Linked DNA regions of Tribolium castaneum. The protein of the gene in region 1 binds, or shares a complex with, the protein of each later gene. Links are inferred from orthologs where the notes say so. Each region holds a gene or a part of one and is shown on either strand. Other genes may lie near its edges. The genes, in order: eIF3h, eIF3m and eIF3g1.

Region 1 (3,307 bases):
AATGTTACCTAGAGTCTAGTCGTAGTGTTAAGCTATTTTATCAATGTAAAATGGGGAATTTTTTCAAATGAATTAATCAACATTTTTATACTCATGACACGATTTTTCTTATTGATTGAACTGCTAATAGCGTAATACGAAACGATTTATTGTGATTGATTATCTAGTCTTGTTTTGTTGTTGTTTTTCGTGTGTTGTTTGTTATTGGTTTGTATGAGTTTGAGAAAGTTGCACAAAAAAGTGTGTACATTTTGGCCAGTTTGTGCAATAGAAATGTAAATAAATAAAATTCATTTCTTTAGGTTCGTAAGACTGTAATGACTAAATTGATGTTTAGGGCAATTGAATACATTATTTTTTAAAAGCTGTGTCCTTTATTTCAATCAAAAAACAACAAAATCAACATAAACGATGAAAAGGTTGCGAATATGACTTTCTCCACTGTTGGTTTAGTACCATTTTTTAAGGGGATGATTAAACGTTCAAACGTAGAAATTTCACAGAAGAGACGCCACCACAAAACCTACTGACTGCGCCAATTAAGCTTTATTACGCCTGGTTTAAATAAAACCCAAACTCATTGTATATTATTTTATTGTAAAACAACGTAACAAAACAGTTCAAGGATTAGAATTCGCCTCCTTGGCGTTCTGCAACGCTTGCGTAATATACAACTTAGCCAAACTCTGCGAGCACAACTGGGAAATGGCCTGACTATACGTATTAATCTGTCCCGCGATAATCATCGGGTTCAGCCTCGGGGGCACCGGATGTGGCCTAAACAGCTTATTAATGTCCTCTTCGGGCAATGGGGGCTCGTCTTTCGCGGCCCTAGCCGCATTTTCCTGCGCCCTCTTTTGCAAATATCTGTGTTTGTCTTGCTGTTGCCGGCTGACCAACTGTTGGTATCTATTAAACTTGATCGCTTCTTGGTTGAGTTCGTCAACTCGGTCCATGAGGCAGCGCAATTGCCCCTCGAGGACGGAGGCGGTTCCCAAATCTAAAAATTTCGAGCCTTCTTCTTCCGGGACAAGTTCTTGCAATTCGGACATCATGATGTTGGTCAAGGCGGAGTTTTTAATAACGAAGGGGACCTCGATGAAGAGGTTCTCGTATCCGACTTTGAGCTTCAAGAGGGCCTCGGGCGTGAATTCGCCCTCCTTGTACATCTCAATGGCTTGAGGCGTCAAACGGTAGGCTTTAAGTGTGAGGAACCCGCGCGAGGATTTTTGAGTGTCGTAAATCACAACGACGGATTCCTCGATTGAGGTTTGGTAGTGGAATTGCGATTCGAGAAGAGGGAGGCTGAGGAAGTTCCCGACGTCGGCGCTTTGGTACCACCCCACATGGAAGTGGTCGACGTTGACGCGTCGCAGGCGCCGCATCATCGCTAGCTGGTACTCGTCCTCGTCCATTGTCTCGTCGGTTTGTTTCGGGAATGGGAAACAATTCGTGATTTCCAGCCGGTTTTCAACGACAAGGCCGAGAAGGGCCCCCTGGGCTATGTCCATGTTAGTGGTCGATTCCTCATGGCAGTGTTTTACGATCTTCATGACGGCCTGAAAGAGGTTAGGTTCCGTATGTTAGGTATTAATTACTAACTGAGGTAGCCAAAGTGTGACTTTTGGGTTTAAATAAACTGAAGGGATATTTACCAAGCCGTCGGCTTGCACGTAAGCAATCGTCGAGTCATTTTCAGGCACACGCCTCGAAGCAGCCCCACGAGACGCCATTTTAAACTGCCAAAAATACCTGCCAATGTAGCGCAAACAAAAACTCCACAATTGCTACAAAAACACAATTTTCGTAAAAATTGCCAGCCGATAATGGCCTTATTTAACGATTACGTTGTTTGTTACCAAATTTTGTAGCAGCTAACACAATCTCGTGTTTTTTGGACGTGAAATAATTATTATATTAGTGTTTTAGGCTGATCTAGTCGGTGTCTAAATTCCCCTACGTTTCCACCAGTCCCACCTGTCATTGGAAATTTATCAGCTGACGAGAGCATTAGAAAGCAAAATAAATGGCTGGTTTAAGACAAATATCATGTTTTTGGTATTTAGTGGTGTTTGCGGGGCTGTGTTTTCTCGAATCAAACGGTAACGTAGCAGCTGAAGACGTCCTCCCGTCGAAGCTAAGTCAAAATGTTGGGGCCCCAACCTTAAAATTTTTGTATTGGTATGTTCCCCTAGCCCCAATATCATAATCTAATTATTTAATTTAGTTATTCGTGTGGTTACCGGAAAACGTTCGAGCAGTACGTAAAAATCGTTGGGGACAAATACCCTTTTATAGCCGTTGATGGCCAAAATTACGACCCCCCAGGCTTGAACATGTATTTGGCCAGACTTATTGTAAGTATGATATAATGAGTGAAAGTTGATGATTATGCGTTTTCAGGGCATCGTTAAAATGGTGATAATCGTGTGTATTTTGGGGGCTATTAACATATTTGAATACATTAACCAACCACAGCCTTCATGGTGGATTTGGTGCACAGAAAACAAGCTTTATGCTTGCATGATGCTGTTCTTTGTGTGTAATATTATCGAAGGACAGTTGATTCAATCGGGGGCTTTTGAAATCTCACTGAATGACGTTCCTGTTTGGTCCAAACTGGAGACGGGCAGGATACCACAACCTGCAGAGCTTTTCCAAATCATCGATAATCATATGCAGTTCACTGACAGCAAAATTGAACTGAGCAACGGATTCCCGAAGTAAAGTTACTATAAATTTCGAAAATGATTGTTTTGTTATCAGATTGTTCTTTTTTAAATTTGTTGTGAGTCTGGTAGTGTCATTCTATAATTTTTTGTCTGGTCACTATCACACAGCGTTCAGTATGTTTGAATGTATGATTTATAAATAACTAGATTTGTGATAAGTAAAAGTTGTACATAAAGAAATTGTCTTCTTATTTGATACCTAATAAAACCCAAAAACTCATCGTTTTTATGATTTATTCATTTGTTACATTACAAAATCATTTGGCAGTGTTTAATAGAAAGGCACATAAAATATGAATCACATTTTCCTGTCGTAAGCCTTAAAACTAATTAGCACCTTTGAGATAAAAAAGATCAAAAACAAGCAAGAATTCAAGTATTAAAAAAATAAATTCTATACAAAGAGCCACTGTCGTAATCGCTTAAATAAAATTAAGAACCTAAATCCTTACAAGTAAAAAATATTCTAATAGGATTTGTGTTTGAACACGGCGTACGTTCCTTCTCAAGGACAAATGTTAACATCAAATCTATGTTACAATTAATTTACACATAATTACAAAGTTAATAACTGT
Region 2 (3,360 bases), on another chromosome or scaffold:
TCCCGCACAAGTTCCCCTTTTCGGGGATGGTGCCCAAGGTCTACCAACAAGTCAAGGAGTTTATTTACGCGTGTTTGAAATTCTCCGAGGATTTGAATTTAAGGTTTGGTTGTTGAATAATTCCAATCGAAGTGGGCTGTGACTGAATTGTAGTCAAGTGGAAGTCGACGAAATGATCCGCAAGTCGATGAATTTGCTCCTGACGCGGACGTTTAGCGGTTGTTTGTCGTCAACGTTTCGTAGCCCGCACATCAATCTTCAGGAAATTATCCAAATAATCATCGATACGGGCTATTTGGAGGAAGCCACGGTCTACTTGGACCAGTTTATTTCAAATATTACAGGGTAGGGCACAAAATTAATCCGCCAATAAAAACAAAACATTTAGGGAGGAGTCTCGAGGGGTGTCCACGGGAGTGGTCCAAGGCCAACCAGCCATGTTCCGCGTGGCTCGTGAAGACGCCGTGCGCCAAATTTGCGAAAAATTGCGCCAAAAATTGAACGAGTTTTACGAATTGGAGAGTTATGATTGGCTGTTGGGTGAGCCGTCAGGACACGCCTCTAGTTACATCTCCGATTTGATTGCTTTCCTCCAGACGACGTTTCAGAGTTTCACCAATTTACCGGTTTGTTGATTGGTTTTGTTGATTTTTTATCGAGTGATTTGTAGCCGGAGGTGGCGCAAGTTGCGTGTAAGTCGGCGTGTGAACACATTGCCAATTCGATGTTTCAACTGTTGATGAATGACGAGATCAAGCAAATTTCCATGGGGGCCTTAAACCAAATCAATTTAGATTTACTACAGTGTGAACGTAATTAATCGAAAAATGATAACCGGAAATTTAAACAAGTTTTACAGAATTTGCGGCCTCTGAGCCCGTCAAAGGCCTACAAGAGGACGTCCTCTTGTCGTATTTTACCAAACTACGGGAGACTTTAGACCTGTTCACGTCATGGGACTGGCCCACTTATTTCCACGACTATGGGCAAGAAACCAGCAAATATAAGCAAGTCAATCCAGATGATGCGATAGTATTGCTCGAAAAGTAACAAATCGGGTTATTAAACCACAAGTTAATTGATTCTTGTAGATTGAAAGAAGGCGATAAGAAAACTATGTTCACAGTATTGAAAAAGAACGAAAGAGACAAGAAGAAGTTACTGGAAACGGTCCTAAAACAACTGAGACAGCTGACCCAAATAACGCCCAACAAATAACCGACTTGTTGAATTAAATAATAAATTTTATTAATTATTCGGTGTTTTAATTTTTGTGGCCAACTTGGCCACCAAATTTAAAAAAGTAACAACTTGGCGTTTGCGCATGCGCATTGCCAACATAACCATCAAATTTGCGGTGTGGTTTTTCCCCTTAAAACAGTTAAAAATTGCAAAAAACCGTGAACTAACTGTAGAAAAATGCAAGTGCCCCCTGTCTTTATCGACGTGAGTCCCGAGGACCAGGTAGGCGCCCATTTGTGGCATTTTGTGTCCATATGACACTTTGAGGTTATGTTTTAGGCGCAAGAGCTCCGCATTTACTTAAAAAGTTTAGGCGCTGAAATTTCGGAGGAAAAATCAGTCAAGGGCATCGAAGACGACCTACACAAAATAATCGGCGTATGCGAGGCCTGTTTCAAGGAGGGCCAGGAGCCCGAAGTTGAGATGGTGCTCAACGACATTGTCTCAATCATGGTGCTTGTAAGTGTCTCGAATCATTTGCGCGTGGTATTGGACGTGTTTTAGATCCCGGCCGACCGGTCCGAGAACATCATCCTGGCCTTTTGCCAGAAGCTGCTCAAGGCTCAGGGCCCCAAACTGGGGCTGGTGTGCCTGCGCGCCTTGTGGCTGCTGTTCCAGTCGCTTGACGAGACGTCCCCCATGCGCTACCACGTCTACTACCACTTGATTTTAATTGCGGAGAAAACGGACCAGGTCAAGTCGGTGTTCCAGGATATCGAGCATTTGAAGCAACAGTTCGCCCCGTGTCCACCGACAAGCGAGCAGTTGCAGATTCTGTACCGGTTGTTGCACCAGGTGCTGCTAAAGAGCAACCACAGTGAGCAGGCTGCCAAGGTCATGATCGAACTTTTGGGGACCTACACCGATAAGAACGCCTCGCATGCCCGCGAGGACGCGATCAAGTGCATCGTCTCGGCCCTGGGGGACCCCAACACCTTCCTCCTCGACCCCTTACTGGCCCTAAAGCCGGTCAAATTTCTCGAAGGGGAGCTAATCCACGACTTGCTTAATATCTTTGTCAGCGAAAATTTGGCAACGTATTTGAAATTCTACCAAGAACACAAGGAGTTTGTCACGTCGCAGGGGTTGAACCACGAGAAGAACATGCAAAAGATGCGGTTGTTGTCCTTCATGCAACTCGCTGAGACCAACCCGGAGATCAGTTTTGACGTGATTGAGAGAGAGTTGCAGATCAAGGCTGAGGAGGTCGAGGCGTTTATTATCGAAGTCTTGAAGACTAAACTGGTGAGGGCCCGCATGGACCAAGCCGCTCGGAAAGTCTACGTCTCAAGCACCATGCATAGGACTTTTGGGCGCGCCCAGTGGCAACAATTGAGGGATTTGCTCCACTCGTGGAAAAGCAACCTCAGCATGGTCCAGGAAGGGATGAAGAACGTCACAGCGGCACAGCTCGAAATGTTGAACCAACAATAATTGTTTTGTAGCGATTAATTTAAGAATAAAAATTTTGGAACTAGTTGGGGATTTTTATTTTAATACCACGTCAAGTAACTAACTAAATTTGCTGCTTAAACTACGAAAATTACATTATTGCGCCCCATAATTTAATGTGGGGGTTTCACCCGCCACGTGTCGCACGTTCCTTGCCCCCAATCGGGGTCAAGAGCCGCCGGTGCCGTTTCATGTTGGCAGCACTGTGTGGTGTTGTGGCCGCTGATTCCGATTTTGTGGGAATTCCGTGCCTTCTTCTGATGCAATCACAGTTTAATTTCCGCTAGATAACACCGAAGAGTGCGTTTTGGTGTTGGTGTGTTAAATAATTGCAAATTTGGTGGTTGGAGTTAGGTTATGTCGAAACGTGTGCAGCCCCCGTGGTCGGCGCCGGAGGCGTCTGGCGGTCCGGTCCTGAAAGTGTTCAATAGTCTGACGCGTCAGAAGGAGGTGTTTAGGCCGATTTCGGGCAAAAAAGTGACTTGGTACAGTTGCGGGCCGACTGTTTACGACGCCTCGCACATGGGGCACGCCAGATCGTACATAACTTTTGATATTTTGAGGCGCGTCCTTGCCGATTATTTCGGTTATGATATTTTTTTCGTGATGAATATTACGGATATTGACGATAAAATCATAAAAAGGGCGCGTCAGAACTACTTGTTT
Region 3 (2,830 bases), on another chromosome or scaffold:
TTTGTTTTGACACAAATAAACGTAAGTTTAAAAAGCAAAATCGAAAAAAAAATAAAAGGAAAATCCTATATTCGCATTTTAATTATTGTCCAGTCAAGTTATTACTTATTAATATTAAATAACCAGAAGGTTCTTTGATTGGTTAATAAATCTTTTAGTTAGTTTATTAACCTTTTATTTTATTTTTATTGGTTAGTTTATAACCAAAAACCAACCTTATTTATTTGCTAAATTAGCCAGCAATAGTTAATATTTTGCAGACTTCTTAAACTATTGTCTAAGATTTTTTACCTTTTCAAAAAAAACAAAACAATTAACTAGCTTTAGCAAAGTTCTATCAGGTATTGTATGCCTTTACAAACCTCTCGAGTTAAAAAAACTCAATTGCTTGGGATTTTTTATTTTTCCGAGAAGTTACCGTAATGTTTACCTACCGTTTACGCGAAAAATGCTAAGAGCTGATAGTTTCAACACTTGAGAATTTTCTATATTTTATTTTAATAGTGTACCTAAGACCTGTACCAATCTTCACCTCTGTTCGAATTATTTAAAACTGAAATGTCTACGTATTTTGTTGTATTGTAGGTTTGAAAAAACGCAACATTAGCTAAAGCATTTTTATTCAATACAAATAAAACTTATAAAATACATTTCAATTAGGGTGTGGCTTAGACCAATCCACCGTGAGTATAAGATGATCATAACCGTGTCCATTAAGCATAGAAATGGCTTTAGCAGCGTCGTTCTTAAACTTGAAATGAATATAAGCGAATCCTTTGCAATAACCGGCTTGTTTGTCTTTCGCCAAATACAACTTCTGGATCGGGCCAAACGGCTTCACCAGATCCTCCAAATCAGTCTCAGTGGTAGATTCACTAAGATTGGTGATTCGAATCGCCGTGGCGTCGTCTCTGCGCGCCATATTGAGATTATCGGACTTCCTGACGGCCCCATCTCGCAAACTCGGCGGAATGTACTTGGACCCCCCGGCCTTGCCCGCATCCGACCCTGACGGAACCGCCGGGCCCTTCTTGTCGTCGGGCACTTTGCCCCCGGCCAGCATGGTGTCCTTCCAGGGGCACTTGGAGGTCCAGTGGTCCCCGCTGCAGGTGCGGCACTTGACCACGTTCTTGTCGCCCAGAGCCTTCAGCTTCTCCAAAGCGTCGTCTTCCTGCTTGTTGTCCTCCTCCTTGCTCGTGATGTACTGCATGTACACGTCCTCGGCGACGATCGTGGTGGCCGGGTTCGGGCCAGGCTTGTCGTTGGCACACTCGCCGAATTTCTTCCAAGTCTTGCGGAAAGCGATCGATTTTGAAACGACGCGCTTCTCGATCTTGTAGGTCCGCACGATTTTCATTTTTTTGTCGTCTTCGTTGTACGCGTATTCGGTCACGATCTTGAAGCCGTTTTCGTACACCTCGGTCGGGGGCGGGAGCGACCCGCCCTCCAACTCCACCTCGTCAGCCCAGCTGGACTTGACCTCTTCGGCAACAGGCATTTTTAGCTAATTTTGAAACGTTTTTTTGGAAAATATGGTGCGACAATCACGTTCACAAAAGTTAACCTCAAACTGTCAAACAACAGACTCGCCAACCTTTGGGGAATTTCGTTGCAAATTATTTATTTTTGTTTTTTGCAATACAATTTAATTTTGTTGATATTTAATAAAGCCATGTATTTTAAAATTTATTTAATAAACCGATTAATAAATAAACCCCGACAAACGGGGCTGTCGTGTTACAAACCCACAAACACATAATTACAGGATTCTGTAATGAAATTTTAAAATTGGGAAACTTATTCGGAAAGGTGGCTTTGAAAACCATCAACTACTAGATTTTGTACACAGAAAATGTGTGACTTGTGTTTTGCGTTCTTTTGCCAATAGTTAATGTTTTGCATTCTTAAATTAGTTAAATTTGTGTCGGGAGTGTTAAATTTGCATCCGTTTATTGGCTATAATAAAGTTTTTTTGCTTGTGAAACTTTCTGTCGCAACTGTGTAACGCCGTAAGTATACCTACATTAAAATAGTTGATATTTTGGTTCATGTTGCTTCTGATGATGTGCAGAAATGCAGCTTATTATTTATAAATGTATTGTCGCCAATTGAGACATTTGTGAAAATTTAGGTATCCTTCTAGAAGGCTACGGCTACGATTCTGTTGCTTTAGAAAAAATCTTTCACAGCCTTCTAGAGAAGAAACATTCTGCGCCGCCTTAGATAAAAAAGAGAAATTGAGTTAAAATAACTTGAAATGTCTCTGAAATCCAATAAAAATACGATTATGTATAAAGGGAATGCTAAATTAGATCTAATTAAATTTTCGTCCATTCAGAGAAATATGTAAAAATTGAGCAACGTGATTTTAAAAAATTTGATTTTGCTAATAGAGGATCCCAGCTAAGGTCGTCCTGGACCGATCTGCTTACTGGATGAAACTTATTTTTTATCAAACATAATATCCAAAGGATGTATTCAATGGGTTGCCAAAGAAATGTGTTCCAAACTATAATAAAGGGAGCTAAAAAGAGTCGAATTTTGGTCACATTCCACAGTGTTCTACAGCACATTTTTTAAACTGATTTCCAGGATACATTCTTTTACTCGGGCTGTAGGCGAGAAAGTTTTTTAAAATGCGGTCACTGCTTTATCTAATTCTGAAAATAATTTTTAAAACTGAAAAAAAAATCAAAAAAAAATCTAGTCCTCTTTGAAAATTATTATAAATTATATAAAAGTGCAAAAAAATATAGGGTGTTCTATTTAAAAAAACATATGTTTGCATTTTAGCTAATTTCAAAAATACCCTATAATACCTGAAAATAAT

Evidence for each region.
Region 2: eIF3h (region 1) and eIF3m share a complex: the UniProt entries of both Caenorhabditis elegans proteins name them as parts of the eukaryotic translation initiation factor 3 (eIF-3) complex. The link is inferred for Tribolium castaneum from reciprocal best matches to the Caenorhabditis elegans genes eif-3.H and cif-1.
Region 3: eIF3h (region 1) and eIF3g1 share a complex: the UniProt entries of both Caenorhabditis elegans proteins name them as parts of the eukaryotic translation initiation factor 3 (eIF-3) complex. The link is inferred for Tribolium castaneum from reciprocal best matches to the Caenorhabditis elegans genes eif-3.H and eif-3.G.

What each region holds. Positions count from the first base shown.
Region 1 is NC_087398.1:6,460,880-6,464,186, forward strand, and holds eIF3h (eukaryotic translation initiation factor 3 subunit H), read right to left. Parts: upstream 1,884-3,307; 5' UTR 1,734-1,883; coding exon 1,656-1,733; intron 1,560-1,655; coding exon 621-1,559; 3' UTR 578-620; downstream 1-577. Other genes in the region: SelT (thioredoxin reductase-like selenoprotein T homolog CG3887), read left to right, coding at 2,027-2,181, 2,228-2,357, 2,404-2,727. UniProt on the Caenorhabditis elegans protein: Component of the eukaryotic translation initiation factor 3 (eIF-3) complex, which is involved in protein synthesis of a specialized repertoire of mRNAs and, together with other initiation factors, stimulates binding of mRNA and methionyl-tRNAi to the 40S ribosome.
Region 2 is NC_087400.1:753,654-757,013, reverse strand, and holds eIF3m (eukaryotic translation initiation factor 3 subunit M), read left to right. Parts: upstream 1-1,289; 5' UTR 1,290-1,419; coding exon 1,420-1,464; intron 1,465-1,521; coding exon 1,522-1,701; intron 1,702-1,746; coding exon 1,747-2,676; 3' UTR 2,677-2,719; downstream 2,720-3,360. Other genes in the region: Sec15 (exocyst complex component 6), read left to right, coding at 1-103, 154-345, 389-626, 671-812, 860-1,046, 1,092-1,218; CysRS (cysteine--tRNA ligase, cytoplasmic), read left to right, coding at 3,052-3,360. UniProt on the Caenorhabditis elegans protein: Component of the eukaryotic translation initiation factor 3 (eIF-3) complex, which is involved in protein synthesis of a specialized repertoire of mRNAs and, together with other initiation factors, stimulates binding of mRNA and methionyl-tRNAi to the 40S ribosome.
Region 3 is NC_087395.1:17,787,939-17,790,768, reverse strand, and holds eIF3g1 (eukaryotic translation initiation factor 3 subunit G), read right to left. Parts: upstream 1,616-2,830; 5' UTR 1,499-1,615; coding exon 653-1,498; 3' UTR 604-652; downstream 1-603. UniProt on the Caenorhabditis elegans protein: RNA-binding component of the eukaryotic translation initiation factor 3 (eIF-3) complex, which is involved in protein synthesis of a specialized repertoire of mRNAs and, together with other initiation factors, stimulates binding of mRNA and methionyl-tRNAi to the 40S ribosome.